4 linked regions of the Elephas maximus indicus genome follow. The protein of the gene in region 3 interacts with the protein of the main gene of each other region in a biochemical or structural test. Links are inferred from orthologs where the notes say so. Each region holds a gene or a part of one and is shown on either strand. Other genes may lie near its edges. The genes, in order: CLU, DAB1, LRP2 and DLG4.

The links.
Region 1: the proteins of LRP2 (region 3) and CLU form a complex in vitro, tested with the Homo sapiens proteins (3 studies listed by BioGRID). The link is inferred for Elephas maximus indicus from reciprocal best matches to the Homo sapiens genes LRP2 and CLU.
Region 2: the proteins of LRP2 (region 3) and DAB1 form a complex in vitro, tested with the Homo sapiens proteins (2 studies listed by BioGRID). The link is inferred for Elephas maximus indicus from reciprocal best matches to the Homo sapiens genes LRP2 and DAB1.
Region 4: the proteins of LRP2 (region 3) and DLG4 form a complex in vitro, tested with the Homo sapiens proteins (2 studies listed by BioGRID and IntAct, with this or other methods). The link is inferred for Elephas maximus indicus from reciprocal best matches to the Homo sapiens genes LRP2 and DLG4.

What each region holds. Positions count from the first base shown.
Region 1 is NC_064840.1:45,514,726-45,521,926, reverse strand, and holds the start of CLU (clusterin), read right to left. Parts: upstream 3,001-7,201; 5' UTR 2,986-3,000; coding exon 2,848-2,985; intron 1-2,847.
Region 2 is NC_064821.1:101,487,949-101,495,527, forward strand, and holds the start of DAB1 (disabled homolog 1), read right to left. Parts: upstream 3,013-7,579; 5' UTR 2,871-3,012; intron 1-2,870. UniProt on the Homo sapiens protein: Signaling adapter of the reelin-mediated signaling pathway, which regulates the migration and differentiation of postmitotic neurons during brain development.
Region 3 is NC_064824.1:67,491,962-67,499,697, reverse strand, and holds the start of LRP2 (low-density lipoprotein receptor-related protein 2), read left to right. Parts: upstream 1-4,717; 5' UTR 4,718-5,189; coding exon 5,190-5,268; intron 5,269-7,736. UniProt on the Homo sapiens protein: Multiligand endocytic receptor. Acts together with CUBN to mediate endocytosis of high-density lipoproteins. Mediates receptor-mediated uptake of polybasic drugs such as aprotinin, aminoglycosides and polymyxin B.
Region 4 is NC_064837.1:13,634,370-13,641,468, reverse strand, and holds the start of DLG4 (disks large homolog 4), read right to left. Parts: upstream 3,013-7,099; 5' UTR 2,750-3,012; coding exon 2,659-2,749; intron 2,348-2,658; coding exon 2,249-2,347; intron 2,061-2,248; coding exon 2,020-2,060; intron 1,351-2,019; exon of another isoform or gene 940-1,350; coding exon of another isoform or gene 910-939; intron 1-909. Other genes in the region: ACADVL (very long-chain specific acyl-CoA dehydrogenase, mitochondrial), read left to right, coding at 3,724-3,770, 3,846-3,921, 4,183-4,248, 4,340-4,412, 4,503-4,567, 4,657-4,791, 5,223-5,367, 5,608-5,737 and 3 more. UniProt on the Homo sapiens protein: Postsynaptic scaffolding protein that plays a critical role in synaptogenesis and synaptic plasticity by providing a platform for the postsynaptic clustering of crucial synaptic proteins.

The sequences.
Region 1 (7,201 bases), on a different chromosome or scaffold from region 3:
GGAGGATGCTCTCCCTTCCTGAAATTGCTCACATCAAAAAACCATACTCCAAACACCAGGCCCATCTGTATACTTGGTAGAACAGCAATAAAGAAAGCCTCTCCCAAAAAGCAGTTAGGTGTCCCACAGAGTGAAGGAGAATGTGGGAGAAGAGTGCAGGGTCATCACCTTCCCCAAAGTCAAGGTGGGTGGCTGGAGATGGTACTATTTCAGGCATGGGGGAAGGCCGTCTTACAGGTTCTGCCTGCTGCTCACTGAGGCCTGAAATGCCTCAAGCAGGGACAGAACCTTTGTCATACCAGAGAGGCAAAGCAAGCAAGAGACACCTCTCTGGGAGAGGGCCCTGACAGCAACAACTCCTGAGAAATCTATACGAGATCCTCTGAGGTAGGTTCTGACCGGGGGGGGGGGGGGGGGGGGGGGGCGGTGGTTGCTGAAGAAAGGGGAGGCAGAACAGTCAAAGGGAGGAGTACTAGATGAGGAGTCCAGAGACTCAGTAGCTCATACAGGGTCTCCCACCAAGAGCCTAGGGACCTCCATAAGCCATCAAGCTCAGAGCTGGGAAAGAAATCATTCCTGCCCAATCCCTCTGCCTTAGAGGGGAGGTTGAAGCCCAGATACGCTGGGGCTCCCCAAGGCCCACAGCAAGCTCATGGCAACCCCAGGATGAAAACTCAGCCCTCCCAACTCTTCCCAGTCCAGTGTTCTTTCCTTGACACCAAGTCACTTAAATTTCCAAGCCTGTTTCTTCATCTGTAAAATGGACATAATGTACATTTCAGAGATGCGAGCGTGTTTTATATAAACTCGAGGGTCTTATATAATCATCGTAAATTCTAACTACTTGATAATTTGACCGAGGACCAATTCTGTTCACTGGCAGTATATGGAGGAGGTAATGTGTCTATAGAGGGTCAGAGGAAACAAAACAGGCACAGATAGACTGCCTGTGGTCCCTGCTCTGTCTGTGTGGCTTTGCCTTAGGGAAACCATGGGCTACTCCCCAATGATCTGCTCAGGGCTTCTCAAAGTGTAAAGTGCCCAAGAATCACCTGATGACCTTGTTAAAATGCTGATTCTGATTCAGTAGGTCTAGGGCAAAGCTCCAAGTCTGCTTTTCTAACTAGTCTGCAGGTGATGCTGATATCGCTGGTCCAAGGGCAGCACTACAGCAATGGCCCTCGCTCCTCCCTGACTCGCTTCCTCTGTCAGCTCCTAACCACTGGGCCTGCCACCTGCTCTAACTGGGTGAGCTACACCAAGGCCCTTCTTTCTCCACCACTGCTTCGCAGCCTTCTTCCACCCAACCAAAAAAAGGAAAGGAAAAGAAGCCCACTGCTGTGGAGTCGATTCTGACTCATAGCAACCCTACAGGAGGCTTAAACCACCTGGTCTGGTTTCTTCATTAGCCAAAGCTGGCCCTGTGGGTGACAGAGCTGTGAAGAGGAAGGAAGACAAGGAGATGGAGGGGCATAAGGTTGACTGTGAGCGCAGTTTTCCTCCAGGCACACCCTCCTCAGAGCATTTTACTCACCGGCCCCCATAAAGCTCCCAAGCACCACCTCCAAAGCCAGTAGGTGGCCCAGCAGGGTGGGATTAGAGGCTTAAAGAGATCAGTGAGAGTGCAGAGGAGCGGTGGGGAGGATCCAGACACCGCGAAGTAAGGAGGGCGAACAGCTTGCAAGCTGCAGACCTAGGCCTGATGCCAGAGACCAGGCGCCTATCTCAACACTTCCCTAAATGTAGAAAACCAAACCCAAAACGAAAAATGAGAAAATGAGTCATCCACAAGTCACACTATCCAGAGGCAAATATTAATTTTTAATATGTCCTTCTATTTTCTATGCATTTTTACACAATTAGATCCTTTATATCCACTGTCTTCAAATATTCTTTAAAAGTATATTTTTTATGGTTGTATAATATTCTATGTTCTGATGTGCCCCAGTTTATTTTTACCATTCTCATAAATTCAGGCATTTGTCTCTAATTTCCTACTATTATAACTAAAAGTCTCATGAGTATCCTTCTGCAGTACCTGTACTTACTCTTAAATTCCTAAAACCTCTTAAAATTAAATTTAAAGGAATTTAAAAATTGCTTTAAAAAAATCAGTTTTAATTAGTTCCAAAAATTCTGGAAGGTCAAGAAGGTTTAGATTCTAGTACCAATTCTGACTCTTATTTGCTGCGTAATTGTAGAGCAAGTCCTAAACCTCTAGGCCTCAGAGAATCATCTATAAAATGAGACGGTTGTATTAGCCATCCGAGGCCTGAAGGAGGTTGTATGCCTTTTCTCTGATGCAGGCAGCTGCATCATATATATAAATCCAAAACATCATATTTACAAACACATTATCCAGAGCACTGCAGAATTTACAGAAAACGATGACTCATACCTGCAGACCAACAACTACAACGGAGATCAGCACCCTCACAGGGAAGATGGGGCAGGAAGGGCCTGCAGGCAGTCCCCAGCTCCACTACTCACTAGCTCTGTGGGCTGGGGCAATCCAAGCCCTTTCTCCAAGTCTCATCTTTATAAAAGGAGGATCATTACACCCGACAGAAATGTAGTTGGAGCTAATGAGCACAGGCATTACCGAGGCCCAGCCTGTGTGCCGCCCTGGCATCCCAGGGCCCCACCAATTCAGCACCTGGATCAGCTGCATTGTGACGGGCTCTAGCCACCTCCGTTCCTGGGCCTCCCTTATGCCCTCTTAAGCCCAGCTCTGACATCCCTGCCATCCCCTCCCCGAATGGCTGCCACCTCCTGCCCGCCCGCCCGCCCATCCGTCCCGGTGTAGGTTCTGCACAGGGATAGGAAAGATCGGGAAGTACATCTCACCGGTCCCTGGCACCGGGCTTCCGTGCGCTCCTCCTTGTGGCGAGGCTGCGTGATGAGCACAGTCAGGGCGCCAGTATTTATAGCGGTCAGTCTAGCACACACCCCCTCTGGGGCTGGCTGCAAACCTGCATGACTCATGCCCAAAGAATGCCGAGAAATGCGCAGGGAGCTTTCTGGAAGCCTGCGCTGGGTGTGGGTGGAGGGGCAGACAGTGCTGCACCAGATGCGAGACTCCAGGGGGCGCACGGGCACCGCGAATGGCGCGCAGATTTCATAGACCCTGCGGTGCCGCAGCGCCGCCCAGGGAGTGCAGAGTAGGAGGATGGCGCCCCAGGAGGGAGCTTTAGTTAATGTGTGCACAGCTGGGCGTCTCGCGTCTCACCCTTAGCGCCCCCTCACAGAGTTGGTGTCATGTCCACTGCGCTCCTGGTTGGTTCTCAGTCCAAAATAAAATTTCACAATTCTCCTGTCCCACTGAACAATATTATTCACACTGAACACACACCACTTCTGTTGTCCCATTTAAGTAGCAAAGTGTCAAATAATAAGGGTGGAATGGAGAGGTGGTTTTGCTAGAGAAGGAAAAGAATAAATTACTGAAACCCTGACTCCCTGAACCACCACATTGTCCCTTCTCAGACTGCCAGGCCATGAGGAAACAGAAATATGTTTAGGAATCAACAGAGTAGAAATTTGCGCAACCAGGGGACTTTTCCCAGCTGCTTGGGTCAAGAAGCATACATAATTATTGTCCCCACCCACCAGGGACCCAGCCAAGCAGGGCTGCCTGCATGGGACCCATGCAGCCCTCCGCTTGGTTTAATGTGCTGCTTTCGCAGTCTTGAAATTCTTAATTTTTGAACGACAGGCCCTACATTTTCATTTTGCACTGGGTCTCCACGAATTATGCAGCAAACCCAAGAGGGCTCTCTCCTCTCTATCTGCCACAAGGTCCTTCTTCTGAAAGTAGGAAACTTGTTTGTGGACTCACTTTGGCCAGGGACAGGGAGGTGGGAGATGGCTCCTGTCACAACCGCCCACCCCCTGACAGAGAGAGGACTAACCCAGAAGCCCCTCAGGTGCAGCTATTTCTTGGGGAAGAAGCTGAGCCACTTACTCTGGACCCTCAGGGCATTTGAGCAACAGGAAAGAAGGCAAGGGGCTGAAAGGCTGCTCTGACACTGAAGGGCACAGGGTGGATGGAGCAGGTACAAACAGCTTGCTTTGCGGTGCCACACTTTGAAAACCATGTGAAATGAAAGGGCTTAGGGGAGAGCTATATGTCCAGGGGCTGACCTTTCTTGTTCATGACTGTCAAGGTACAGTCTTGAGACCCAGCCTCTGGTTCCTGAAGGTCCAAGTACAACAAGGACCTCATCCCTTTCTTGCCCTCCTTCATAGATGCAGGAGGCAGCCTAGAGGGAGCTTGTGAAGGCACGTGAAGAAGCCAGAAGGCTTGGGCCTGGAGAATGGGAGTCTGGTTACAGTCCCAGCTCCACCCCTAGGGGGCTGAGTGACTTTGCACCTCTTTGCCTCTCTGGGCCTCAGTTTCTCCAACCTATTCAATGAGGGATTTGAAAGGTCCTCTTCAACTTAAGATCTGGAGATGGAACACCAAAAAGGAAGAACACTCTCTGCGTTTCTCAAGCTGAAAGAACTGAAGAAAAATTCAAGCCTCAAGTTGCAATATCAAAGGAGTCTATGGGGAAAATATTAAACAACTCAGGAAGCATCAAAAGAAGATGGAAGGAATACACAGAGTCACTGTACCAAAAAGAATCGGTTGACGTTCAACCATTCAGAAGGTACCATATGAGCAGGAACCAATGGTACTGAAGGAAGAAGTCCGACCTGCACTGAAGGCACTGGCAAAAAACAAGCCGCCACCAGTTGAGATGTTTCAACAAACAGATGCAGCACTGGAAGGACTCACTCGTCTATGGCAAGAAATTTGGAAGACAGCCACCTGGCCAAATGACTGGAAGAGGTCCGTATTTACGCCTATTCCCAAAAAAGGTGATTCCACAGAATGCAGAAATTATTGAACAATATCATCAACATCACATGCAAGTAAAATTTTTTTGAAGATCATTCAAAAGTGGCTGCAACAGCATATCAACAGGGAACTGCCAGAAATTCAAGCCTGATTCAGAAGAGGGCTCGGAACCAGGAATATCATTGCTGATGTCAGGTGGATCCTGACTGAAAGCAGAGAATACCAGAAAAATGTTTACCTGTGTCTTATTGACCATGCAAAGGCATTCAACTGTGTGGATCATAACAAATTATGGATAACATTGTGAAGAATGAGAATTCCAGGACACTTAATTGTCCTCATGAGGAACCTTTACATAGATCAAGAGGCAGCTGTTTAAACAGAACAGGAAGACACTTCATGGCTTAAAGTGAGGAAAGGTGTGCATTAGGGATGTATCCTTTCACCATACCTATTCAATCTGTATGCTGAGGAAATAATTTGAGAAGCTGGACTATATAAAGAAGAACAGGGCATCAGGATTGGAGGAAGACTCATTAACAACCTGCGTTATGCAAATGACACAACCTTGCTTACTGAAAGTGAAGAGGACTTGAAGCACTTACTGATGAAGATCAAAGACCACAGCCTTCAATATGGATTGCACCTCAACATAAAGAAAACAAAAATTCTCACAACTGGACCAATAAGCAACATCATGGTAAACAGAGAAAAGATTGAAGTTGTCAAGGATTTCATTTTACTTGAATCCACAATCGACACCCATGGAAGCAGCACTCAAGAAATCAAAAGACACATTGCATTGGGCAGATCTGCTGCAAAAGCCCTCTTTAAAGTGTTGAAAAGCAAAGATGTCATCTTGGAGACTAAGGTGCGCCTGACCCAAGCCATGGTATTTTCAATCGCCCCCTATGCATGTGGAAGCTGGACGATGAATAAGGAAGACTGAAGAATTGACGCCTTTGAATTGTGGTGTTGGAGAAGAATATTGAATATACTGTGGCCTGCCAAAAGAATGAACAAATCTGCCTTTGAAGAAGTACAACCGGAATGCCCCTTGAAGCAAGGACATGTTGTCAGGAGGAATCAGTCCCTAGAGAAGGACATCATGCTTTGTAAAGTAGAGGGTCAGCAAAAAAGAGAAAGACCCTCAGTGAGATGGATTGACACCATGGCAGCAACAATGGGCTTGAGTGTAACAACGATTGTGAGGATTGTGCAGGACCAGGCAGTATTTTGTTCTGTTGTACACAGGGTTGCTATGAGTCAGAACCGACTCGATGGCACCTAACAACAACTTCACCTTAACCCGATTCAGTGCCAAGTGTGAGAAAAAGCTCAGCCTGGATGAAAAAACTTCCTGAGAGATCTTGGAGCAATCTTTTTCCCCAAGAAGAGGCTTCATTTTATTTTCCTTAAAAAAAGTCTATCGGTAACAGCTACATTTTCTATGGGAACTGCCTCCTCCTTATTGTATCAATGTCCAAGGTCAGAAGAATTGTTTTTGAGCTCGCTCCTTGTAACTAATCTGACCTGCAACTCCCCCAGGATCCAGCACAGGAGGCATAAATCTGTGATAATTATATTTTTAAAAGTCTGACTTTAGAGGACAGGCAGGGAGATCAGCCTTAGTCAGCTAAAGTAGGGGAAGGGAAGAAAGGAAGAAAGGATTAGGGACAAAATAAACTTATTCACAGTCATGACTGTGGTCCACTGGGAATGATTATTTGATTACTCCCAAAACAAGGTTTAGAAGGTTAAACTTTAAGAAAAAAAGTATGAATTTTGGAAGTGTCATAAGGGTATCACTGGATTTTGAATATTGTAAGTACATCATAGAGGTCGACTGGTTCAGCCCTCATGCAATATAGACCACAATCAACACAGCACAATTAACAGTGAAGCTATGTTGATTCACCACAACAGCCCCATCAGGTGGTCATCCTGCTCTGTTTGAATACCATCAATAACTGGGAGCTCACTACCTCCTATAGAACAGTTCTCTAGTAAAACTTCTTATAGAGTTAGGACCTTTTTATGTTGAGTCAAGGTCTAGCTTCTATAAGGGTTAGCCACCAAGCCCAATTCTGTCCTCTGGAGACACACAGAGAAAATCCCATCCATCTCTCCTCTGACAGCTCTTCCAGTATTTGAGGGTACTTAGGCTGCTTGTAGCTCCTTGCCATGTAACTTGTTTGCAGATTCTTCCCCAACCCTCTGGTTTTCTGGATTGTCTCAGCCTAGGTTCTCTAGAGAAACAAAACTAATGAAGCATATATACGTGTGTGTATATATATATATATATATATATATATATATATATATATATATATATATATATATAGACAAAGAGAAAGA
Region 2 (7,579 bases), on a different chromosome or scaffold from region 3:
GTGGCTCAAGGCATCAGAAAGCCACCAAATGCAATTTTTAAGTTGGGTACTGTCAGGTGCCAAGCCAAACACCCACCCATTTGAGAAAAAAAAATGACTTTGGAGGGTAAAGAGAAGCGAAAAAGCACATTCTTCTCTGGCTTTTGGAGGAGAAAATGAACAATAAGTGATACGATCTCTTCCCAGCAGCCTCACACAATGGTAAGCCTTGCAAATGAAACATACTGTGAAACAGCTTGTGCGATGAGCTTCATCAACAATAAGTAATTTTTATTCAGATTTTATTGTTGAATACAATGAACATGATTAAATGTTTCAGATATGCCTATTCAGACCTTAAGCAAACCACCAAAAAAAAAAAAATCCACTAAAAATCATCGTCTAAATCTGCTTTAGGAAGAGATTTAATTGCCAACTTGCTGTGTAGGACTGAATTTCTACTTGATAGTGGCACTTGTTCTCAAGGAGATAGTAACAACGTGTTTGCGCTTCCCACCTCAGTCTCTTCTCTCAGCCCTGCAGATCCTCCCATCTTTGCCTAATAGTTACAATGTCAATCTTTTCAAATCACTGCATTTTGAACTTCCAAAACCTCTAACAGGCCTCTGTGTATGGCAAAGAACAATAGTGCTTCAAAAGCCATTTCTCTGAGTTCTTCAATGCTCCATTTGAATGCTGGGGTTTCAATCAACGATATCAGCAGACAATTTTGATTGCCTGGAAGTTGACTTTTATATACCTTTGATTCAGTAGCCCTTCTCAATAGGAAATAAAATAAATCTTTGATCCCTTTTAGTTTTCAGAATTGTCACCAAACCTCTTCCAGACAGGGAGTGAAAGAGATGGGGGAAAACGTTCCTAACCCCATCCAACCTCTCGTCTCCCCCTCCCCCTTCTATCTTCTTGACTGAGCAGTTTAGGGTTCCAACCAGAATCACTCATCGCTGAGATAATAAAAACAATGGGTGCTAATTCAGGGGGTGGGGATAGTTTATAATTTTATGCATTTCCCGAAGACCTATAATTGGCACATAAATGTACAAACGTGAACCGGGTAATTATGGGGTTCTGAACGTAAGCCACCTTTAATTTATATGATTACTTGAAAACATGTTAAGCGTTATAAAGTGCCAGTGGAACCCCCACAAGGCCTTTATTCAAAACCACCAACATTGTGAAAGGGTGTCTAACGGGCCAGCGGGAGGGGAGCAGGCAGGAGGGAGAAGCAACAGCGAGAATTCTTCCTCCGATCCCCGAAGGCTCGCCAGGAGACGCATTGTAGCCTCCCTGGCGCTGGAGGACTCGCTCGGCCAGCTCCGGGACGCTGAAAGGCGCTCTCGCTTCATCACGCTCTGGACTCGCCCCTCTTTCTAATTTGGCTCAACACAGGCGTGTGTCGGCATCCAAAGGCACACGCAGGCTCGGACCCACGCAGGCACGCACCCCACCCTCGTCGGCACACACCCAAGCGGACAGACACCCGCGCCGCGGCGCACTTCGCCCACGCCGAGCCTCCAGCGAGAGCCCGACCGTGGTCGCCCAGCGTCCCTGGTCTCCCCACCCCCGCCCCATTCCTTCACTCACCCAGCCAAGGCGGAAGTGCCCAGGCAGACCCCCAACAATGAGGACTTGTGTAATGCAGTTGGGGTGGGCGGTAGTTTACACAGAGTGAAACATACACAATCTGGCAAGTCCGGGAGGGGGCAACGCAGGAGACAAGTGTCACCAGCTTCGCGGGGCAGCTTTCTCTCGTGATCCCCTGCACCCCCATCCCAGTTCACCAGAGACACACACACAAAGAGCCTTAAAAAGTGCGGAAAATAAACGCGCCCTCCCACCAGGGGTCACAATTAACACTCTGCAGGATAGAGCCAGCGGGGGAGGAGAGAGTCCCGGCTGCAGCAGCCACCCTGGTTTTCAAATTTACTCCGTCCACTTGGCCAATGGCCCCTTTCTGACGCCGCGGTATCATCTCCCCCAGCTCTAACTCCCTGACTTCTGGTTCTCTCGGCGGTTGAGACCCCGTTTTGTGGCTCCTTTATGAGCCGAACCACGGTGATTTAAAGTTTCCCCAGTAGGAAAAGAAGAAGAAGAAGGAAAAAAAAAAACCGAGCTCTACGTCCGAGGCAGAGCGTTGAGTCCAGAGCAGAGAGAAGGAAAAGGGGAGCGAAGGCGTGGGGAGACCTCGGGTAGCAGGAAGCCCGGGGAGTGGAAGTGAGGCGAGGCGGGTCAGAACTGAGTCGCTGAAGGACTCGGGGAAGGCTAGGGTCAGAGGGGAAGCGAGACCAAGCTGACAGTGTCAGCAAAAGGGCTGCGGTTACTGGGAAACATCCGTCTACCAGATAGTTCAGAACAGAACCGCAGCGCTCCGGCGAGTAGGGAAGTAAGATCAGGGCTCGGGCGAGAAGAAAGTCCCGACGGCGAGCGCCGCTAGCGAGGCAGGGAGAAGCGCCCGGGACCACAGGGCAGATCCTGAAGTGGAAGAAGGAAAGCTTGTGGGTAGATGGACCCGGGGACGCAGGAATGAGCGCAGTGGGTCCCAGGGAGAACCAAGTGTCTTCGATGGACAAGTCTGGAGAGACAATCGCGAGTGGTCACAAGTAGAGAGATAGGGAGGACCCAAGAGGAAGGCGCAAAGGTCTCCCCTTTCTCCTCCGCTCCCCTCACCCCCGCCCCCAGGAAGTGGAAGGAGCGAGCAGAAAACTGCTGCAGTCGCAATCCCAGCAGAGCCCCACGCCAAACTCCCGAGAGGGGCGCGCCTCCCGGAGCCGGAACCCCGGCGGAGCCATCCCCGCGTCCCGGCGATGTGTACCCGCAGGCCACCTGCCAGCGCTGAACTCCGACTGCCGCGTGCCCTCCCCGCGCCTCACCTCGGCTCGCCCAGAGCATCCTCCTCCGCTGCCGCAGCCGCCCAGGAAGGGGCTCCCCATGCCCGGCGGGCGACGGGACTCAGGCGCGCTCTCCAGCCCGGGGAAGCCCCGGCGAGCGCGGAGCTGGGTCCATCCTCCTGGGAGCCGTGGGCCCGGCGTCAGAGCAGGGGGAGGAGACCGCCATGCGCGCAGACCCGCCTCCTCCCGCGGCCCCCGCGCCGGCCCGGCGCCCAGCGACGCGACTCACCTGCTCGCTCCCCCGCTGCCGCCCGCGTAGCCGCCCGGCGCGCCCCTCCCCTGGCCTCACGGCTCCCGCTCCCACTGAGGCGCTCTCTGCGCCTCCCGAGCGCACTCCGAGAGCTTAGCCGAGTCTCGGTGACGACCAGGAAGAGCAAGAGCGAGCGAGCGGGGGCGCCGCGGCTCGCAGTCGCGCCTCTGGAGCCCCAGCGCTTACTCCTCATCCCGGCGGGAAGGGGGAGAGCCGAGCAGCGAGCACAGGGTCCCCGCCCCAGTTGCGGCGGCGCGGAGGAGGGGTAAAAAGCCATCAGACTCCACTTTCACAAAGTATCCAGTGTTTTCGCCGTTATCCCACCACCAGCAGCAGCCCCCGCCCGGCATCCCTCATGTTTCTCATGGGTCTTCTCTTTTATCCAAGCCTCCAACATTCACCTTTGGAAATATAAAGAGTGCCAGTGAGCGGAAAAAAACCCAGGGAGGTTCCTAGACGGTGTGTTGCCCCCACGCACCTTTGCAAGAGGGGACGCTCGTTCCCAGCGGCCAACCCTGGCTCAGCGCTCTTGCAGTACCTGAGGTTTCGGTGGCAAAGTTTGGCTATAAGGGAAAAAGCTGGCATCTGTCAGGTTTTCATCAGTCCCTGGGAGGGGTCCACGCCCTTCAACCTTCACTCTTTTCATTCTTAGAATGCCTGCGAGTGAACAATCCTAAGATTAGATCAGTGAACACAATCTGCGCAGGAGAATAATCCAGCGAGTACACTCAGGCGTTCCCTAGTTCAGGTCCTCACTTCCAAAGATCCTAGGAACTCCAAATCGCAGAACGTATTTTGAGAGTTCGAAAATTCTCCTATCCTGAGACTGGATTCAACTCCAGCAAATGCCTCTTGTGGCACCCCAGTTTCCAGAAGCCAGATGCAGGGGAGAAAAATCAAATCAAGTGCTGTCCTGTCATAGCAGGGCGGGGAGGTGGAAAGGAAAAGGCAGACAACAGTTTCTTGAAAAGTTTATTTCTCCACTTTTTAGGGGCCACACTCCTGTCCTCCAGCTGTGTAATAATAAAGCTAACGTGCTGTTTTGGTTTTGTTTTTCTTCCCCCCCCCCCCCAGCTGCTGTTGCTCACCCATGAAAATTTAATGAAGCATTTAGGGTTATTACCTCCAGAGTCAATGGGCTAAAAATATTTAGCCTAATGCACTTCTCGTGGAGTCAATAGGTCTGTGGCTGGTACATACAAAGTCACCGAGAGACCCTCCCTTTCTCCACAAAATTCACGACCCATTAAACTCATTCCGTAATAACAGCTTCTGTATAAATGGAGGCCCATGCAAATGGAGGCTGTCATGCACCTCCTGAAAAGATAGCCATTTACATAGAGACAAGAAAAAATTGTGAGGTCACTGGCAAGATGCAATCTTGGGGAAAGAGTTGATCAGAAGAAACTCCCAACAAGGTGGGGGGAAGGGTGCCATCCCTGATATTAACTCTGTTCCTGTCTACTTCTGTTTGTGACCGTGGACAGTGGGGTCCCAGGAAACAGGCTCAAATCTCTCAAACTCTTCCAAAATCCTAGGGAATTTAATTCTAAAGTAACACTTGAGATTCATTAAGTAGGAAGTTGAAGCTTGCTAGGCAATTCTATTAACAAAATTCATCAGTTTCCTCATCCACAAAGACAGACCATGGGAAGCTGAATGCAACAGGAAGAATTGAGGGGACATGGACAAATCAGACAAGATATGGCTGAAATGGGGAGGGAGGTAAAGAAAATCATTAAGTACCTCAGGTGGTTGGGACAAATGTCAAATCTTGGGAGAGGGAACATAGCTCCAACTTTTCATTGACTCTACTAAGAAACACTCCAAGGTTTCTCAGTGCTTTGAGGGCAGCTGGGGAACATGAAATTATTTATTATACTAGTACCTACCAGAGCCCTGGTGGCGCAGTGGTTAACCATTCATCTGCTAACCTAGAGCCTTGGAAACCCTGTGCAGTGGTTCTACACTGCCCTGTAGGGTCACTATGAGTCAAAACTGACTTGATGGCAACAGGTTATACGAGTACCAGTTGACTGATCTAGTACCAGTTGATAATACTAGTATCAGTTCTGACTCATGGCAACCCCATGTGTGTCAGAGTAGAACTGTGCTCCATAGGGTTTTCAATGGCTGAGTTTTGGGAAGTAGATCGCCAGGCCTTTCTTCAAAGCACCTCTGCTTGGAATTGAATGTCCAACCTTCTGATTAGCAGTCAAGTGTGTTAACCTTTGTACCACCCAAGCAGGGACGGATTACCCAATAAACAAGGTACGCGTGGGTTTATTTGTGTTTACTTATTAATCCTCAGTGCATAATTTCACCAGATGTGGTGAAATTATGCGCTACGGATTAGTCAGTAAACACAAGTAAGCCTGCCTTGCTTAACGTAAGCCCATGCATACCTCGCTTATTCCGCCCCCGCACCCAGGGACCCCACATACAAGGCCTGCATGTGTGAGTTGTCCCCTTTACCTGCCTTCCACCTTGTCCTGATTTAAATTGATGTTATGATGACAGACTTTGAAGGAAATGTGTGATACTGAGTTGGCTAAGGACTATAAAGGTAAACCCTGGTGGCGTAGCGGTTAAGTGCTACAGCTGCTAACCAAAGGGTAGGCAGTTCGAATCCACCAGGAGCTCCTTGGAAACTCTATGGGGCAGTTCTACTCTGTCCCAGAGGGTAGCTATGAGTCAGAATTGACTCGACAGCACTGGGTTTGGTTTTGGTTTTGGTTAAGGACTATAAAGGGAAGAATCTCATGCAAAACTCTATATTCAGTGTTAGACAAAGTCCAGCATGGATACTGGGCAAACGCCCATGAAATCTGACAGGGGCAACAAGCCAGAGCTGTTTCCAAGTCCAGGCTGGAAGAAAGCATAATATATAGGTGCTAACTGCTCACAAGCTGCCCAGCAAGGGCCAAATGGTCTTTTAGAAAAAAACTGAACCAAATTTTTAAGTGATATTTTAAGTTATTATTTTCTAAAGATGTCAAGAAACAATTCATCTAAAAGCTAGGGTGTTTTTTCCTTTGTTCTTTTTTTTTTTTTTAATAGCAATGTCATTTGTATGACGTATGGCAAAATGAAAAATCAATAAATAGTTCTTTATTACCTACTCTGAGAAACAGCAAAATAATAAGAAGAATAACAGCAAAGATGTACATATTGCTTATTATTTTCCAGGCACCATTCTGGGTATTTTTCATATATTGACTCATCTAACCTTCACAACAGCTGAGTGAAGGAGGTCCTACTCTTATTGGTAGGTAGTGGATAGAATATAGACTTTGGAATCCGATGCTCCTGAGTTGTCTTTGGTAAGTTACCTCTCTTAATTTCAAACTTCTCAACTCTACAATCACCACCCCCCCCCAAAAAAAAGGCTGTCGAGACCCTATAGGACAGAGTAGAACTGTCCCGTAGGGTTTCCATGGAGCAGCTGGTAGATTCTAACTGCTGACCTTTGGTTAGCAGCCAAACATGTAAACCACTGTGCCACCAATAGGGAGAATAATACCTGCTTCATGAGATTGCTGTGAGCCTTAAATGAGATAGCCTCTTGGATAAGTGTAGTACTGAAAAAATCACCCAGTAAACACTGGTTCTCTTTCCAGAATAATTCCGAAATCGTTCATTTTAATTGAACAGCATTTATGGAGTATGTTCTATGTATCAGGCACCATACTAGGCACTGTGAAAAATGATGATAAATCAGAAACAGATCCTGTCTCTGAGAAGCTCAGAGTCAATTGCATAAAGGACATGGGCATGAGTAGCATGCAGATGAGAGAAAAAGGGCTTTACTGAACTTTACATAATCCATCCCTGTGCACATGCTTCTCAAGATACTCAGAGGGGCAGTTCAGGTAAGTGCTGTTTGAGAATGACCCATCATAGAGTGCAAAACCAAATGTCAGAAATCATAAATCCTAATAGTAGTACAAATTAAGTACAGCCAGAATGCTCCTTAGAAGAGAGGATGGTGAGACTTTGTCTTATGTCCTATGGACATGCTATCAGGAGGGACCAGTCTGTGGAAAAGAACATCATACTTGGTAAAGTAGAGGGTCAGTGAAAAAGAGGAAGACCCTGAACGAGATGGACTGACACAGTGGCTGCAACAATGGGCTTAAACATAGCAAGGATTGTGAGGCTGCTTCAGGACTGGGTGGTGTTTCATTCTATTATGCAGAGGGTTGCTATGAGTCGGAACAAACTGGACAGTACCTAACAACAATAGTAGTATCGACTCCTCCAAAGAGGGGAATGCAAAGTAGCCCATTTGTGTATTCCACATTATTTAAAATTTTGTTTATTCCTATAATTTTTCAAATATATCTCTCATTGGATGGGGTATAATATAATTAATTTGTGCTATAAGCTTTGAGGTCTCCAAACACAAATTATACACAATCACTGCTTATTAAATAGTTTT
Region 3 (7,736 bases):
ATTTGGGTGTTGGAAACATTACATCTGAGGATGATAACATTAGCAAATTACACACTGCAACATTGTATGTAGTATATATTACTAACAATAAGATGTACCAAAAAAAAAGAAGGGGATGGTTGTAAGTACAGTTCATCTTAACTCGAATATATCATAAGTTGAGAACTACCTAGAGTATGTTTGAGGAACTGAGTGGAAGCCAGTGTGGCTGGACTGTTATGTGAGACTGGAGAGAGTTCAGGGACCAGGTCCTGCAGGGACTCATAGGCCGTGCTAACATTTTTGGATTCCATTCCAGGAATAATAGGAAAGTATTGAAGAGTTATAGTCACGAGAGCCATATGGTTGGTTTAATGACTGCAAAAAGAGTATTCTTGCTGCAATGGGGAGAAGATCCTTGAGGAGGCCAAGGAGACACAAAAAGTGTGACAGGTGCTGGACTGAGGGAAGTAGAGAGAGCTATTAGGGCATATATAGGAGAGTCTCCTAACTCAGTACAGAAAGTCAGGGAAAGTATCATGGAGGAAGGAATATTTTAGATAAGACCAGAAAACCGAATAGAAATTAACCAGATGCGGGAAGAGTTGGAGGGCGAGAAAGTTCTAAATTGAGGGAATAGTAAGAGCAAACACTGGGAGATAACAGAAGACTGCCCTTGTAGAACTTATGATCTAATGCAAGTTTTTCAAAAATATTTTTAATATAATCTTTAACTCACAGAAAATTTGCAAGAATAGCATAAGAAACTCTCATATATCCTTTGTCCATTTGCCCTATTATTCTCTATTTTTCCTAATACACACGCTCTCACACTTTTTTTTTAATCATGTGAGAGCAAGTTGCAGAATCATACCCCAAATAAACAAAAAACAAACAAACAAAAAAACCCCAAACACGTGGCTGTTGAGTTGATTCTGACTTCAGGGCATATTTTCTAAGAACAGAACATCCTCTTTAATAGGCACTTTACAGTTATCAATATCAGAAAATTTAACACTGATATGATACTATTATTCAATCCATTGTTCATATTGAAATGTTTTGGTTTTCCCAGTAATGTCCGTTAGAGCTTTTTTTTTCCCCCTTTGTCTATGATCCAGTCCAATACTGTGCATTGCATCTTGTTGTCATATCTCTTTTAGTCTCTTTCAGTCTGTAACAGTTCTTCAGCCTTTCTTTGTCTTTTATGACCTTGCTATTTTTGAAGAAAAGGTAGGTAATTTTGTAGAATGTCTCTGAATTTGAGTTTGTCTGATGTTTTCTGATGAGTAGATTCAGCTTATGCATTTTGGGCAGGAATATCATAAAAGTGTTGCTGTGCGCTTCACAGTGTGTCATATCAGGAGGCATATGCTATTAGTTTGTGTCATGTTCACTTTGATTGTTATGTTAACTTTGATTACTTTGTCAATATGGTGTCCGCTAAATTTCTGCACTTAAAGTTACTATTTTCCCTTAATAAGTAATTTGTAGAGAGATAACTTCAAACTTTTGTTGATTGAGATGCATAATAAAAATATATTTTACATGGTGACACAGTATATGTATAGGAATATATATACATATGTATGCCTAACTGAAACAGGAGTGTTACGAAAAAAAATATCCTTTCTGCATAAAAGTTATTTTAGTTCCTATTCTGTTGGAATTCATTTGAAAATAATCCTTGTCTTGAGCTACTGAATTGATTTTGTAACCTTCTACTGGTCCCTACTGGTAAGCACTTGTCTGGTGGAAATATGACTTTAGATCATTCTGTTTACAAAATGGAAAATAGTTAAGAGGGAGCAGAACTGACAGCAAGAAGCCCGTTAGAAGGCTCTTGCTGTAACTGAGGTAAGAGGGGCTGGTGGCTACTGGCAGTGAGGTTGAGAGAGGTGGGTGCATTTGAGAGACAAATGGGTGGATTGAGGAATTTGAATAACAGAATTTCATGGTTGATTGCACATGGATGGGGGTAAATGTAGAAGAGCAAGAATGACAAATTTCTATCTTGACTTCTGGGATAGGCACCACCAGAGGTTCATGGTTCAGGCTCTATTATGCTGAGCTGGAGGTGGTGGGACACTGAATAGGGGCTGTCCAGTGGGCAATTGGCTCTGTGGTACTCAGGAGGCAAATCTGGGTTGGACAAATAGCGAACTGTGGTTGGATTTTACCTAAGGAGATTTTATAACTTCATGCTTATTTGAAGTGGAAGCATAAGATAGGAACAGGAATTATATTTCCAGTAATTTGGGGTTGAGAGAATAAGTAAAATAATACAGGCAAGCCAAAAAACATAAGGGAATCAACAAATTTGCTAGGACAAATTTCACTTTTCAGCACTTTCTCCTCTCTTTTGGCTAAATGTTCTGTAAATCCTGCAATACACACATGGAGAGAGAAATGTGGGGGAAAATGTACACTTTTGCATCATATAGAAATAATGCTGGCTTAAGTCTTAGTTGAAATTAGCTTGGGCTTTACCAGATGGCGGTCCAAATCCCGCAAGAGGCGTTTTCAAGTATAGATTCTGGAGATAAACACGTGTATGGTGCAGGCTGCAGAAGATGCTTTTTCAAGTGTCACAAGATTGAGACTGTACTTAGAAAATGTGATTTTCTAGGAGAAAAGAGCGTGAATGTGTGAGTTTACATACACAGTGTTGAGAATGATTGGCTTGGCTCTGTTGGTCCTCTCCGTCTCCACCCTCTCTCTGCTCTCCTCCCTCTCGCCGTCCCTCCCTCCCTCTTTCCCCCCTCCTCCTGCGTTATTCTGGGATTAACTGCAGGGTCGGCCCCAAACACTAACGCAGCTGGCGGGTTTGCTCAGCCTGAGCCCTGCTGTGCAACCACGTCAGGAATTCCAGTAAGTTGGCAACACTGGAACACAGAGACAACAATGAGGAAAACCCTTCAGTGCAGAAAGGAATGTTTGGAGCCCCGGCTGCTACAGTGAAAGGACACACACACACACACACACACACACAACACGCACACACACACACGCGCACGCACTCTTACACCGCCCTGCGCTCACGCCTGCGCGGGTACCCTCCGCCCTCCACCCTCCAACGCCCACGCGCGCGCTGGGCGCGAGCTCAGCCCCTCCCGCCAGCTCGATCTTCCGTCCCTCCCACCGGGCCTGCAGTGCGCGCTTCCCCAGGGCCGGCGGCCGCCCTTTGTAACTCGGGGGTGCTGGGACGCTCATTGACCATGCAGCGCGGCCCCGGCGGGCGTCGGAGCTGCATGACCCCGGCGCGGTTTCGTACCATTGCTCCGGCCGCCCGGAACCGGCATAAATCACCCGCGGAGACTGCAGTATAGCATCTTGGCCCCTCACCGCTCCCCTCCTCCCACCCGGGTCGTCCCTCTCGCTTCTCAGCCCCCTGCCCCCTACGGTCCCCAATCCTGCCTCCTCTCGGCGCCGCACAAATACAGTGCAGCGCGGCAAGTAGAGTTCTCGAGACTCTGGCCAGAGCAGAAAACTCGGGATTTCCAAATCTCGCCACGAAATCTTTCTGCTCTTTCTCTCAACTTTATACTCTGAATTTCCTTTCTTCCTTTTTTTTCCTTCTTCCTTCCCTCCCTCCCTCCCTTCCTTCTCTCATCTCAAAAACGGCACCTACCTCCTCCCTCTCCTCCCGCCCAAAGTTGCACCAACCACTGAAGCCAAAGAAAGCTGTGCGCTTCGGACCGTTGGGGTCAGCAGAGCCCCAGACGATTGGTACTTTGGAGTGAAGGGGCTGGCAGTTCCTGGCAGGTTTTTCGCCCCTGGTGAGATGGCGAGGAGGCGGAACACAGCCCAGGGGCCACGTGTAGCCAGGGCTGCAGCCTCCAAGGCCTCTAGCTGTGGGAAAAAGCTCCTGACAACGAACTCCTTGGACCAGGATTCCCAGGCTCCGCTACCGAGTTGGTGCAGGGACCTGGGCAGTAGACTCTGGGTCGACTCCAGATCCACAAACATCCCCTTCTCACACTGGGCTCCCAAGGCAGAGAAACAGGTTGCGCCAACCCTCCTTTCTTCTGTTCACTCTGTTGTCAAGTACTGGCTGAGGACGGTTCTCTAAGGGCGAGTGTAAGGTTCACTCGCAGTGCTCCAGGGCCGGGTCCTTGCCAGCCTGTCCAAGGAGGGTGCCGCGGGGTTTCCAGAACCCCATATGTTTCTCCTTTCTACAAACGGGCATCTGCACGAAGGAAATGATGTTCGTTCAATTGTACTTCAAAACGAATTGCCCCCCAAAACGCAGACTTGTAAGAATCATAATCTGCCCTTAACACTTACAGTTGTGGTGGCTAAGAAAAGCCAAACAAGGACCCAGCCCCCTCCCTAACTTTTAAAAACACAGGGCACCCTGTCTCGGTAGCTTCAACCCTATCGAAGGAAATCGTCGTAATCAAGGGATTCGAGACCAGAAACGGAGGGGACAAATACCTCCAGTAGGCGCCTTTACTGTTTCCTTTCCCTCTCCCTCTCCTCTCTTTCCACCTCTCTCTCTCTCTTTTTTCTTTTCCTTTCCCTTCTCTCCCCTACTCTTTTTGACATTCCCCCCCCCCCCCATTACTTTCCATTCTTCCTTTAGTTTCTCGGACCGTGTGGGTGGTAGATTCCCCAGTGGGCCGCCTAACCGCTTCAGTGCTCAGGAAAATCCTGCAGACAGGCAAGGGTAGCTCGTGCCTGTGTGTGTGTGTGAGTGTGAAACTATGAGGACTTTGTGTGTGTGTGCATATGACTGTGAGGAGTGTGCGTGCACGTGTGAGAGTAGCTGTGTTTGCCAATCACTGTGGAGTGTGTGCGACTGTATGTGCGTCAGTGTGCGTGTTAGATTGGCTACCTGTGAGTGTGCTTGTGCCTGTGGAGTGTGCAAGTACGAACGCGAGTGAGTTTTGAGTACCCGCTCCTTCCTGCGTTGCAAAGTGCTGGGGGCGGGCCGGGCGGCAGGGGGCCTGCCCCGCTGGATTCCCGCATGCTAGTTCCGGGGCGGTCGGTTCTAAAGGGCTTTATACCCTGTCTGGAGGGTGGGGACAGGCGCGGGTAGAAAACGGGATGCCTCGAGGTCCCGGGCTGACTTTCTGCCACCGGGAACGGACCGAAGTGCGGGCCTAAAGTGGTGCCTGCTACTTGCTACTTGCAACGCGCACCCACCTCCCGGGGAAGGAACCGTGAGGCCGGTGCGGCGGTGGCCACGCGCGGAGACCGTCGCAGGGATGCAGCGCCGGACGGCGGCAGCGGCGTGCGCGCTGCTGTTGGCGCTCGCCGCCTGCCTGATATCGGTCAGCGGCGAAGGTAAGCACGCCTGCCGGTCTCAGCTTCACGCGGAGCCGCGGACTTCCCGGGCAGTGGCTGGGTCCGTCCGCCGGCGGGCGAGCGGGCGGTAGAGGGGAGCGCGGCGGGGCAGGGGCTAGGGCAGGCGGCGCCGCTAGAGCGGCTCCCCTTGGAGCGCTCAGGTTGCCCTGCGAGCAGCTAGCGGGAGCGCCCCTCCTTCGCCCCGGCAACAGTGCAGCTGCAAACTTGAGAAAGCAGCCCCGCGGGTTTCAGTGACAGCGCACCGCACCGGGGCCCCCGTCTTTGTTCCCACGGGGGGCTGTTTCCCGACCTTTCTGGAAAGCACTTTGTAGTTGGATCTCCAGAGAATGAGGTTCTCCACCAAGTTTCCAACCTGCTAGCCCCACGGATTTATTCTCGCCAGGGCTGAGTAGTCCTTCGCACTGTTCAGAGCGCAGTTTTCCACCTGCAACGCCCTGCCGGGGAGATCTCTTGGCGCGCCCAGGGCCGCGGGCTAGGGCACTCCCCCTTCTCCCCCGATCACCGGCGAAACTTGGTCCTGAGGTGACCCCCCAAGAGACCGCATCTCATGATACAGATCATTTACGAGCCGATAAGGCCAGGAGGTGGGATTGGCCGAGAGAGCGGCTGATAAGTTGGAGGATTTTCTTAAAGGGTTTTCTTTCCAACCCGGGAGTGGGGGCTTTTGTGTGGATGAATGGAGCCGGTCTGCGCGGCCAGAGTTTTGAGGGCTCGAATGCAGAAAGTTTCTGGTCTTAAGGTCTTTAAACTTCTCTTACGTTATTGGAGAGCTCTGGAGAGAAGAGAGAGGAAGAAGTGGAGAGAATATAAATAGTAACAGGGGAAGAGGAGAGGGAAATAAATAGGAGCAAGACGAGAGGAAAAGGGAGAGGAGGGGGAGAGAAGCGAGTTTGGAGAGAGAGCGAGCGAATTTGTAGGGAGAAAAAGAGGGCACAAGAGCAAGTTTGGAGAGAGAAAACGAGAGAGAGAGAGAAAACGAGAAAGAGGGAGAGAAGAGAGAGAGAGAGAAGGGATGAATGGAAACGGTGAAGAGGAGGCAGTGGAACCGGCGAGCTCTCTCTCTGGCTTTGCGTTGCTAGGTAGCAGCCAGGAGCTGCGTGTGACCGACCACCAGACAGACAGAGCGGACGCTGCAGCCGCCACGGGACTAATCTGTCTGTGGGGATGAGAGAGTCCCCCCGCGCCCCGTTTCCCCTCCTTCTCCGTCCTTCCCGTCGGACAACTTAATTGTCCTACAATGAAATGAAACCCCTTTTGTTGTAGGATTAGGCAATGCAATAAATTGATTTTCCCGGATCACATATTGGGGTTGACGGGTGGGGACTGTGGAAGCTCCCACTTATGGGGGTGGGGTGGGGTGGAGTGGAGGGAAAGGGCGGTGGCATGTATTCAAATGGTTAATCTGCTTTCTTTCCTCAATTCTTAGTTTAAGCTCTTTAGACGGAATCAAGTAAGTAATTATACAGCACCTCCTAACAGCACCCGTTTCAGACTTCTGGGAAGAAGTGTGGAAAGCCAACAAGCCCGAATGGTGTTGCAAAAATCTTTGGAAAGGGAAGGGAGGCAGGTGGAGACCTTTAGCAATTCCTTTGAACACCTTTTTTCGGTGTTGGTAACACAAGAAAGAATTGTTGAGGGCTTAACCTGAGACCCTGCTTAGGGTTATATTTAACTCATGTCCTAAATATAGCCACAGGATTTTACTATATGTTTCTTTAAATGTCTGGCAAAAGAAAATCTTGGCTGGATTTATTTGTCTCCCCACCCGTCCTCCCCCAACCAAAACAGATGTTCTCTAGCTTGAGTTGATGGTACATCAAATAACCTGTACTTACTCTTCTTGATAGTTTAAATCTATCTAGCTTCCATTCTATAACATCTATCTATATATGTGCACAGACAGACACACACACACAGGTCCATTACACTTATTGACTCATTTAATCTTAATAGTACCTCCTTTGAAGTAGTGGGTATCTTATTATCCCTATTTTATAGATAAGACACAGAGTAATTAAGTAACTTGTCCAAGGTCATACTGCTAGAAAATGGCAGACTCAAGGGAGTCCATAGTTTAACTATTGTGATATATGAATCTCTCTGATCATTTCTTTGTCTTTTTTCTTTTGTATTAAAATGTCATGCTGTCTAATACCGTGTCTGTAACTGTGTGTGGTTACAAAGGGAGCTGAGGGGCATTTTGCAAATCTTTACCATTTAAGGCAAAAATCCACCTGCTGCTTTGTAACTGGGTATTTTTTCAGAAACTCATTTCAGGTTTCTAAGACCTGAACCGAAAGCTCTGCATTTCTAGTCTTTCCCCTTCATTGTTTTTAGATACATGTCCTCTGAATGTCTTCAGCTGGTAGCTTGAGGTCTAGATACCTGTTTTATTGATCCTGCTTATCAGATGAAGTATGATGACATTGTAGATGCCTTTATTTAAG
Region 4 (7,099 bases), on a different chromosome or scaffold from region 3:
CCATCTTGATCCCAAGCGTCAGGGGTAGCAGGAACATTCCCCTCCATCTGCTCTTCCTCTTTCTGGACCAGAGGTAGATGCAATGTGGGAGGAGATGGGGATACTGGGCACCTGCCTGGGCCACCCCAGATTTCAGACCACCCACCTGGTCTCCCTCCTTAAATCCCCTCTCTCCCCAAACCTCTCATCTTCCTCCTCAGGAGCTGGCAACCACTGCTGCAGTAACCCGCCTCCCATGGGGGTAACCAAAATCCTAACCTCCCATTCATTCCCTCAGGTGATTCCCCTACCAGGCCCCAGTCCTCTTGACAACTCCCAGGTATTCCCGTTTCATATAATCAAATCCAAAAATTAATAGTGCCCTCAAATTGAGGGTGCATCCCCAAATGTATCTTGTTCTATGGCTGAAGGCCCACCCCTTCCCTACCAGCTGACACCCCCAGACCAGTCAGGAACTCACAACCAATAATCTAGCCTCACGCACAGGAGCCCCCAAAATTGGACAAGGCATCTGGAAGCCAGCTTGTCCCCAGGAGGCAAGAGGGCCACCCTACACCTAGCCCACCTTCCAACATCCACAAGCCTCCATGTGAGCCATGCTTCTCCTTAAATAAGTCTCCTGCAAGCATCAATGGTGAACCCCCAAATCCACCAGATCCTCCCAAAACCATGCAACACCCTAAATTTTCCGTTTCTCTACAGGTACAAAGAGATCACCCCAGAGAGCACCTGTGGCCAAACCCAGTTTTTTCTGATATATGAACCCCAAAACTAAATTATGATCCCGAAATTCATCTTACTTCAGATGCTCCCACTCCAGCGCCGCCACCCCTAGATTAGGCCTATCTAACCCCTCCCCACAAACTCGTTACCCTCCCCCAGTTTATAGCCCCCCCCCATCACGCTTACCTTGGTTGTCACTATACAGAGACAGTCCATGTTGGGGGGCCTGGCCGCGGCGGCGGGTAAGGGGCTCTGACTTCATCGGAGTTTCGTTCCTCCCCTCCGCGGGTTCTCACCCCTCCCCCCTCCGCACCCCACTTTTGCAGGGGGGGCCAGGATGGGGGGAGGGGTGAGAGGGGGAAGAGGAGGTCGGAGAAGGGAAGGGTAGGGGAGCGTGGGAGGGAGGGGAAGGGGGCCCTAAAAGGGGGTCCCCAGTGGAGGGGAAGGGGCTTGGGGAGCACACCCCGATTCTCAGGAGGGGCGGGGGCAGCGGGGGCTGGCAGCCCCGGGGTTCGGGGGCTGGGGCATGAGCTGGGATGGGGGAGGGGAACTGGATTTCAGGGAGCCCCGGGATTGGGGGAGTCTTGCCTAATAGCCAGGGCCTAGGGGCCGTGGCGGGGGAGTGGGGTGGGGGGGTTGGAAGCGGCTGCGGCCGAGGGAGCCGTGGAGCCGAGGAGGGAAAGGGAGAGAGGAGGAGAGAGGAAGCAGGGGGAGGGAGGGAGGGAGCGAAGAGCGAGAATGGGGGGGGGTGCCTTGACAGAGTTAACTCCTTCGGTGCTGGCAGGAACCCGGATAATGGGAAAGGAGCTAGAAGCAGAAGCAGAGAGGCCCTGAGGCAAATGAGGAGACCTGGCAGCCACCAGGGAAGCTACCAAAGACAAAGATGAGGGATTTCATTTCTTAGGGGAGGAAGCACCTAGAGTTTGGCTGGGAGCACCCACGACTGTTCAAATACAGGCGGGTGACCATGGTGGGAGGTAGAGGGGGAAGGAGGGGCTGGCAGGGGAGAATCCCTGGGGGCCTGGTTCGCCCTCAGGGTTCCCAGGAGGAAGGTAACTATGTATGCCCTGAACTCTTTAGCGCCTGAAATTGGGGCAGGCAGAGAAAACAGGGAAGCAAGAGAGAGAAAGGGCTACAGAATGGGAGCAGGTACATTTTCAGTGTCCCCAAGCTCCTAGACCTGGACTCAGGATTTTCTCACCCAGGACCCCAAGTTTCAGTGTAATATGAGCAATACTTCCCTCACCCCTTCAGCCCTGCCTACTCCCTCAAGAAGCCAGCCACTCACCTCCTTACCTGACTCTCTGAGATGGAGGCCTCATAATAGTCCAGGATGTCTGTGACAGAAACAGAACTGAGTTACTCTCCTCCATTCTGGGATTCTCGGGCCACCTGTGCCATCATCTTGCTCATCAACGCTGGTGGAGAACACTGCCGGGAAGACCTGCACCGGGCTCCCAACTAACCCTGAAGTCCATGCTCAGCCCCTTCCACCTCTGTCCCTCAGAATATTGGGGCTACTCACCCAGCAAGGCCTGAAAGAGATCACTGTGCAGCACTGTGAGGAGCGGGGGTGCCCACCACAGTAGTGGAGGGGCCAGGAGCCAGAGAGCTGACCTGGGAGCTGGTAAAACGCAAGTGAGGGAGGCTTGGGGCAAGGAAGAGACCAGCCCAGAGACAGAGCCAAACACTCACCTCATCTCCCCCACCCTTTGCCCTTTCACCCCAGACCCCAAGGAAAGACTGGGGAGAAGGATCCCAGAGTCCCAGCCCCCAGGCCACCCCCTGGGCCTCCCCACAAGAACCCCTGTCTTTCACCTCTTGGTCTCTCCGACATCTCTCTTCTCTCACTTTAATCTCCCAAATCCCCCCAGATTGGAGTTGAGCTGCCTTCTCCTGACCCAGTTTTAGCTGTTAGGTAATCTCCGAACTGACCTGACCTGCTGGCTGTTTCATCTTTCCCCAGGTTCCCAGGCACCACCACAGCAAATTCCCCAACACCCTGGCTCCCTCTTCCCATAACCATAATAGTTTAGCTACACTTTCCTGAGGGTCTTGGAAAAAGGGTCTTCCCTAAAAGGAGGCTGCCGCAGCACAAAGGAAAGGAAGCAGAGCCCAGCTCTTTCCCCTCCTGGGCCTGTCCCCAGCGGGAATTGTGGGAAGAGGGCTATAAATTATCAGGAACTTCTTGACCCAGGGCTGGAGAAGCATGGGAGAAAGGAAGACTCCAGAACTTCCACAGTTGCTCTCAGGCCTGGGACACATGTATCTGCCTAGAGGTCTAGCCTGGATGCAATGGTCTCTGGAAGGGCCAGAGAGCAGACAGACAGAGATATGATTACAAAGTCTCAGCGGCCCTAAACAGGAAGCAGTGAGCCCAGAGGGTCCTTTCTACTGTGAAGTTTTAGGTGTTTCAAGAGTTAGTGACACCTTCTAGGTCTAAGGAGGATATATGTTCGGGACATTCACACCTCCAGTTCAGTCCCTCACCTGCCATTTTCTTCCCTTTTGTTTTGATGGAAAGAGACAGATTTCACAAGAGACCTTTAAAGAGCCAACCTCCTTGCTTCTGGCGTTCATCTTACACAACTCTTTCCTCATCTCTCCCTTCTAACTCCTCCTGGAAGTCCTGCCTCAGTCTACCTTCCATCTCTCTGGATGCAGTCGCCTAAGTTCCTCCCTCTTCTCTCCCACCCTATCTCATCAGGGCAGGGCAGAGCAGCAGACCCTAGCTCAGACAGAAAGGAAGAAGGAGTCTGGGGAAGGCAACGGATACTTGGAACTGCTCCAGGTCAAACAGACCGCAGGAGCTGGGGGGCGCTGCGGAACTGCAGCCCCAGCATGCCCTGGGGCCCGGAAACCCCTCCCGTCCGCCTCCCGGTGCATTTTGAGACGAAGTCAAGGGGTGGGGCGGACCTTGGGAGGCGGGGCGAAAGCGAGGAGTCAGCCGGCGCTCCAGGCAGCTGAGGACTGTGCGGCGCCGAGGTGCAGGGGACTGAGATGGCTTCGAGCGTGGGGCGACAGCTGCTGCGATTCAGGGGTGGCAGGTCTGTGTCCATCTGGTGGGACGGGGGACGTCAGTCCCGGGGACTGGACCGGGACTGAACCCCTGCTCCCCACAGCTCGCGGCCCAGCGCGCTCTTGGGGCAGCCCCGGCCCGGTCCGACCCAGCGAGCTTATGTCAGTGGGGCTGCTCAGGTAAGCGATGGAGGCATTGGGACGAGGGGTGTGGGAGTGGGGGCCCACCTCCCTGCCACCGGCAGGGGTCCCCCTCTTCGTGCCAGTCACCTGCCACCCAGTCTGGCACCGAAAATAGGGGAAAGGCCAGGCCAGGGTGCCCTGTAGATGAAACTAGGGGAAAGGTCGCGGGATCTACCCTTTTCCGCACCCAGCGGGCCCCGTGCTCTCCTTGGCACACCGAAGTCCCTGTCCACGTCCTCGATAACCATTTTTCTCTAGACGGCTGTGGACCAGTCAGATTCCCTCTCCTCTGATGCCTCCACCAAGGAAAGCCAGGCCAAGGTGGTATGTGGCCCCTAAGTCGGGAGGAACTGAGCTGGGGCAGACACCCTTCCCCTCCCCAGCCACCTCCCTGAACTGCCTTCTCCCTGCCCAGGAATCTAAGTCCTTTGCTGCAGGGATGTTTAAGGGCCAGCTCACCACCAATCAAGTGTTCCCATACCCATCTGGTAAGGGCAGGAGTCATCAAAGCCGGGCGGAGGCAGGGCAGCCTTCCCTGTCTGCAGCCTCACCCCGCCAGCTTTCTTCCCCCCCTGCAGTGCTCAATGAGGAGCAGACTCAGTTTCTCAAAGAGCTGGTGGGGCCCGTGTCCCGTTTCTTCGAGGTGAGGAATGATCGGGGTTGGAGAGTGGAGGCCTGGGTCTCTAGTAGGGCATAAAAAGACCTTGGATGTGGGGTCTTCTGTCGTCCCAGGAGGTGAACGATCCTGCCAAGAATGAAGCTTTGGAGCGGGTAGAGGAGACCACCTTGAAGGGCCTCAAGGAGCTGGGGGCCTTTGGTCTGCAAGTGCCCAGTGAGCTGGGTGGCGTGGGCCTCTGCAACACCCAGGTGAGGGGTACCCTTGTCATTCCCCGGGATGCCATTCCACTTCAGCTTGGCAGCTTCAGGGCATTCATCACTTTTCTGGGCCCTGGGTCTCTGCCAAGCAACTGTCTAGGGCCTGTGGGATGTTGACTGTCCCCACTGTATAGGCACCCCCCAAAAACAAATTACATCCAGTTCCCTAGGGCCGTGGACCTCACCCCGGGTCCCAAGTCCTAACGAATCTCTAAGCTGGAGACCAACCACTTGACAATGGTAGGAAGCCGCCCACCCACCAATACCTGGGTCAGATATATCCTCTGCTGTGCCCTTTCCATGGTTCCACTTCCCTCTTTCCACACTGTGGGGATGACCTAGGCCAGGCCCTGCTCCATTCTACTCTCCTGCCAAGGGGAGGTCTTCGGGCAGTTACAGCCCAACCGCCTGCTTCCCTCCAGTATGCCCGCTTGGTGGAGATCGTGGGCACGCATGACCTTGGTGTGGGCATCACCCTCGGGGCTCATCAGAGCATCGGTTTCAAAGGCATCCTGCTCTTTGGCACGAAGGCCCAGAAAGAAAAATACCTCCCCAAACTGGCATCTGGTGAGACAGTCCTACAGACAAGGAGTGGGGTGTCCTGGGCTTGGCACAGATTTGGCTGGTTGGCACTTAGATCACCAGACACCTGGACATGTTGGTTGGGAGCGTCTCAGGCGGCCTCACTGTGCTGGTGGGGAAATGCAAAGGAACTAAATGTTCCTGGAGGTGTTAAGGGGTGCAGGCTGTTGGGGGACTTTGATGCCCATCAGGATCCATGGTAAAGGTGCTCTCTCCCCTTCACAGGGGAGACTATGGCCGCTTTCTGTCTAACGGAGCCCTCCAGCGGGTCCGATGCAGCCTCCATCCGAAGCTCAGCTGTACCCAGCCCCTGTGGAAGTTATTATACCCTCAACGGAAGCAAGATTTGGATCAGGCAATTTTCCTCTCATTTCTTCCTTTTCTCCACCTCTCCCCGATTCCAGGCCCCACTGTTCTCAGTCCTCCTGACTGCCCCCTCATTCTTCTACAGTAATGGGGGCCTGGCAGAAATCTTCACAGTCTTTGCCAAAACACCGGTTAAAGATGCATCCACGGGCACCACGAAAGAGAAGATCACAGCTTTTGTGGTGGAGAAGAGCTTTGGGGGTGTTACCCAGTGAGTGTTGGAGGAAGAGGCAGGGCCAAGGAGGGGGCAGTACTGGGCACCAGGGCAGATGGTTGCTACATGTCACCCTGGCAGGGGCGGGGCGGGGCGGGGGGATACAAAAGCCAAAGCAGACAGCATGTTCCTGTTGGGACTAATATGTATGAAACCGATTTAAAGCTTGGACTCCTAGCAAATAGTGGGCCCAACCCACTAGCAAGACATAGCCAGGCCTCTATAGCTCAGCCTTTATAGCCCTCTGGGCATCGTAGGAACTGTGGCCTGTATCCTCTCATAGTCTGGGATTTGTAGTTCCTCCTTGGTTCATAAGGCATGAAGGGGCAGTTTCCTCCTCTGCTGGCAACTTGTTGAACACAACTCTGCTTCTCTACTCTGCCCTGTCGCAGTGGGCCCCCTGAGAAGAAGATGGGCATCAAAGCCTCGAACACAGCAGAGGTGTACTTTGATGCGGTGCGGGTGCCATCGGAGAACGTGCTGGGTGAGGTGGGAGGCGGCTTCAAGGTCGCCATGCACATTCTCAACAATGGAAGGTTTGGCATGGCTGCAGCCCTTGCAGGCACCATGAAGGGCATCATTGCTAAGGTGGTGAGTACCCTGCCTGAGTCCCTCCTGTTACTGTTGCCATCGACTCCAACTTATAGGGACCCCATCCAACAACCATCCTGTTGCTGTCAAGTTAATTCTAACTCATAGCGACCCTATAGCTAGCCTGACTCTGAGTCACAGTCCCCTCTGACTCCCTTGCAGGCACTCCCTCCACCACAAAACCCTCCCCACAAACAGCTCCTGAACTATTAGCTTAGGCTTTCATCCAGTGGGGACTGACCTTGGCTGTGGCCAAAGCCCCTCCCTCCAGCCCCTCTGCTGGGAAACTGCAGAACTACCGTGTAACCCACGTGCCCTTTTCCAGGTGGATCATGCTACTAACCGTACTCAGTTTGGGGAGAAAATTCACAACTTTGGGATGATTCAGGAGAAGCTGGCCCGCATGGCAATTCTGCATTATGTGACTGAGGTGAGAGCCCTTCACCCTCCTCCCTGGAGCCTTTCTCTCTGCTGGGTCAGACTACAACCCCCAGCAGCACCTGGGGCAGTGGGTCTCCAGCTTCACACCAATGCCCTAGGGGATGC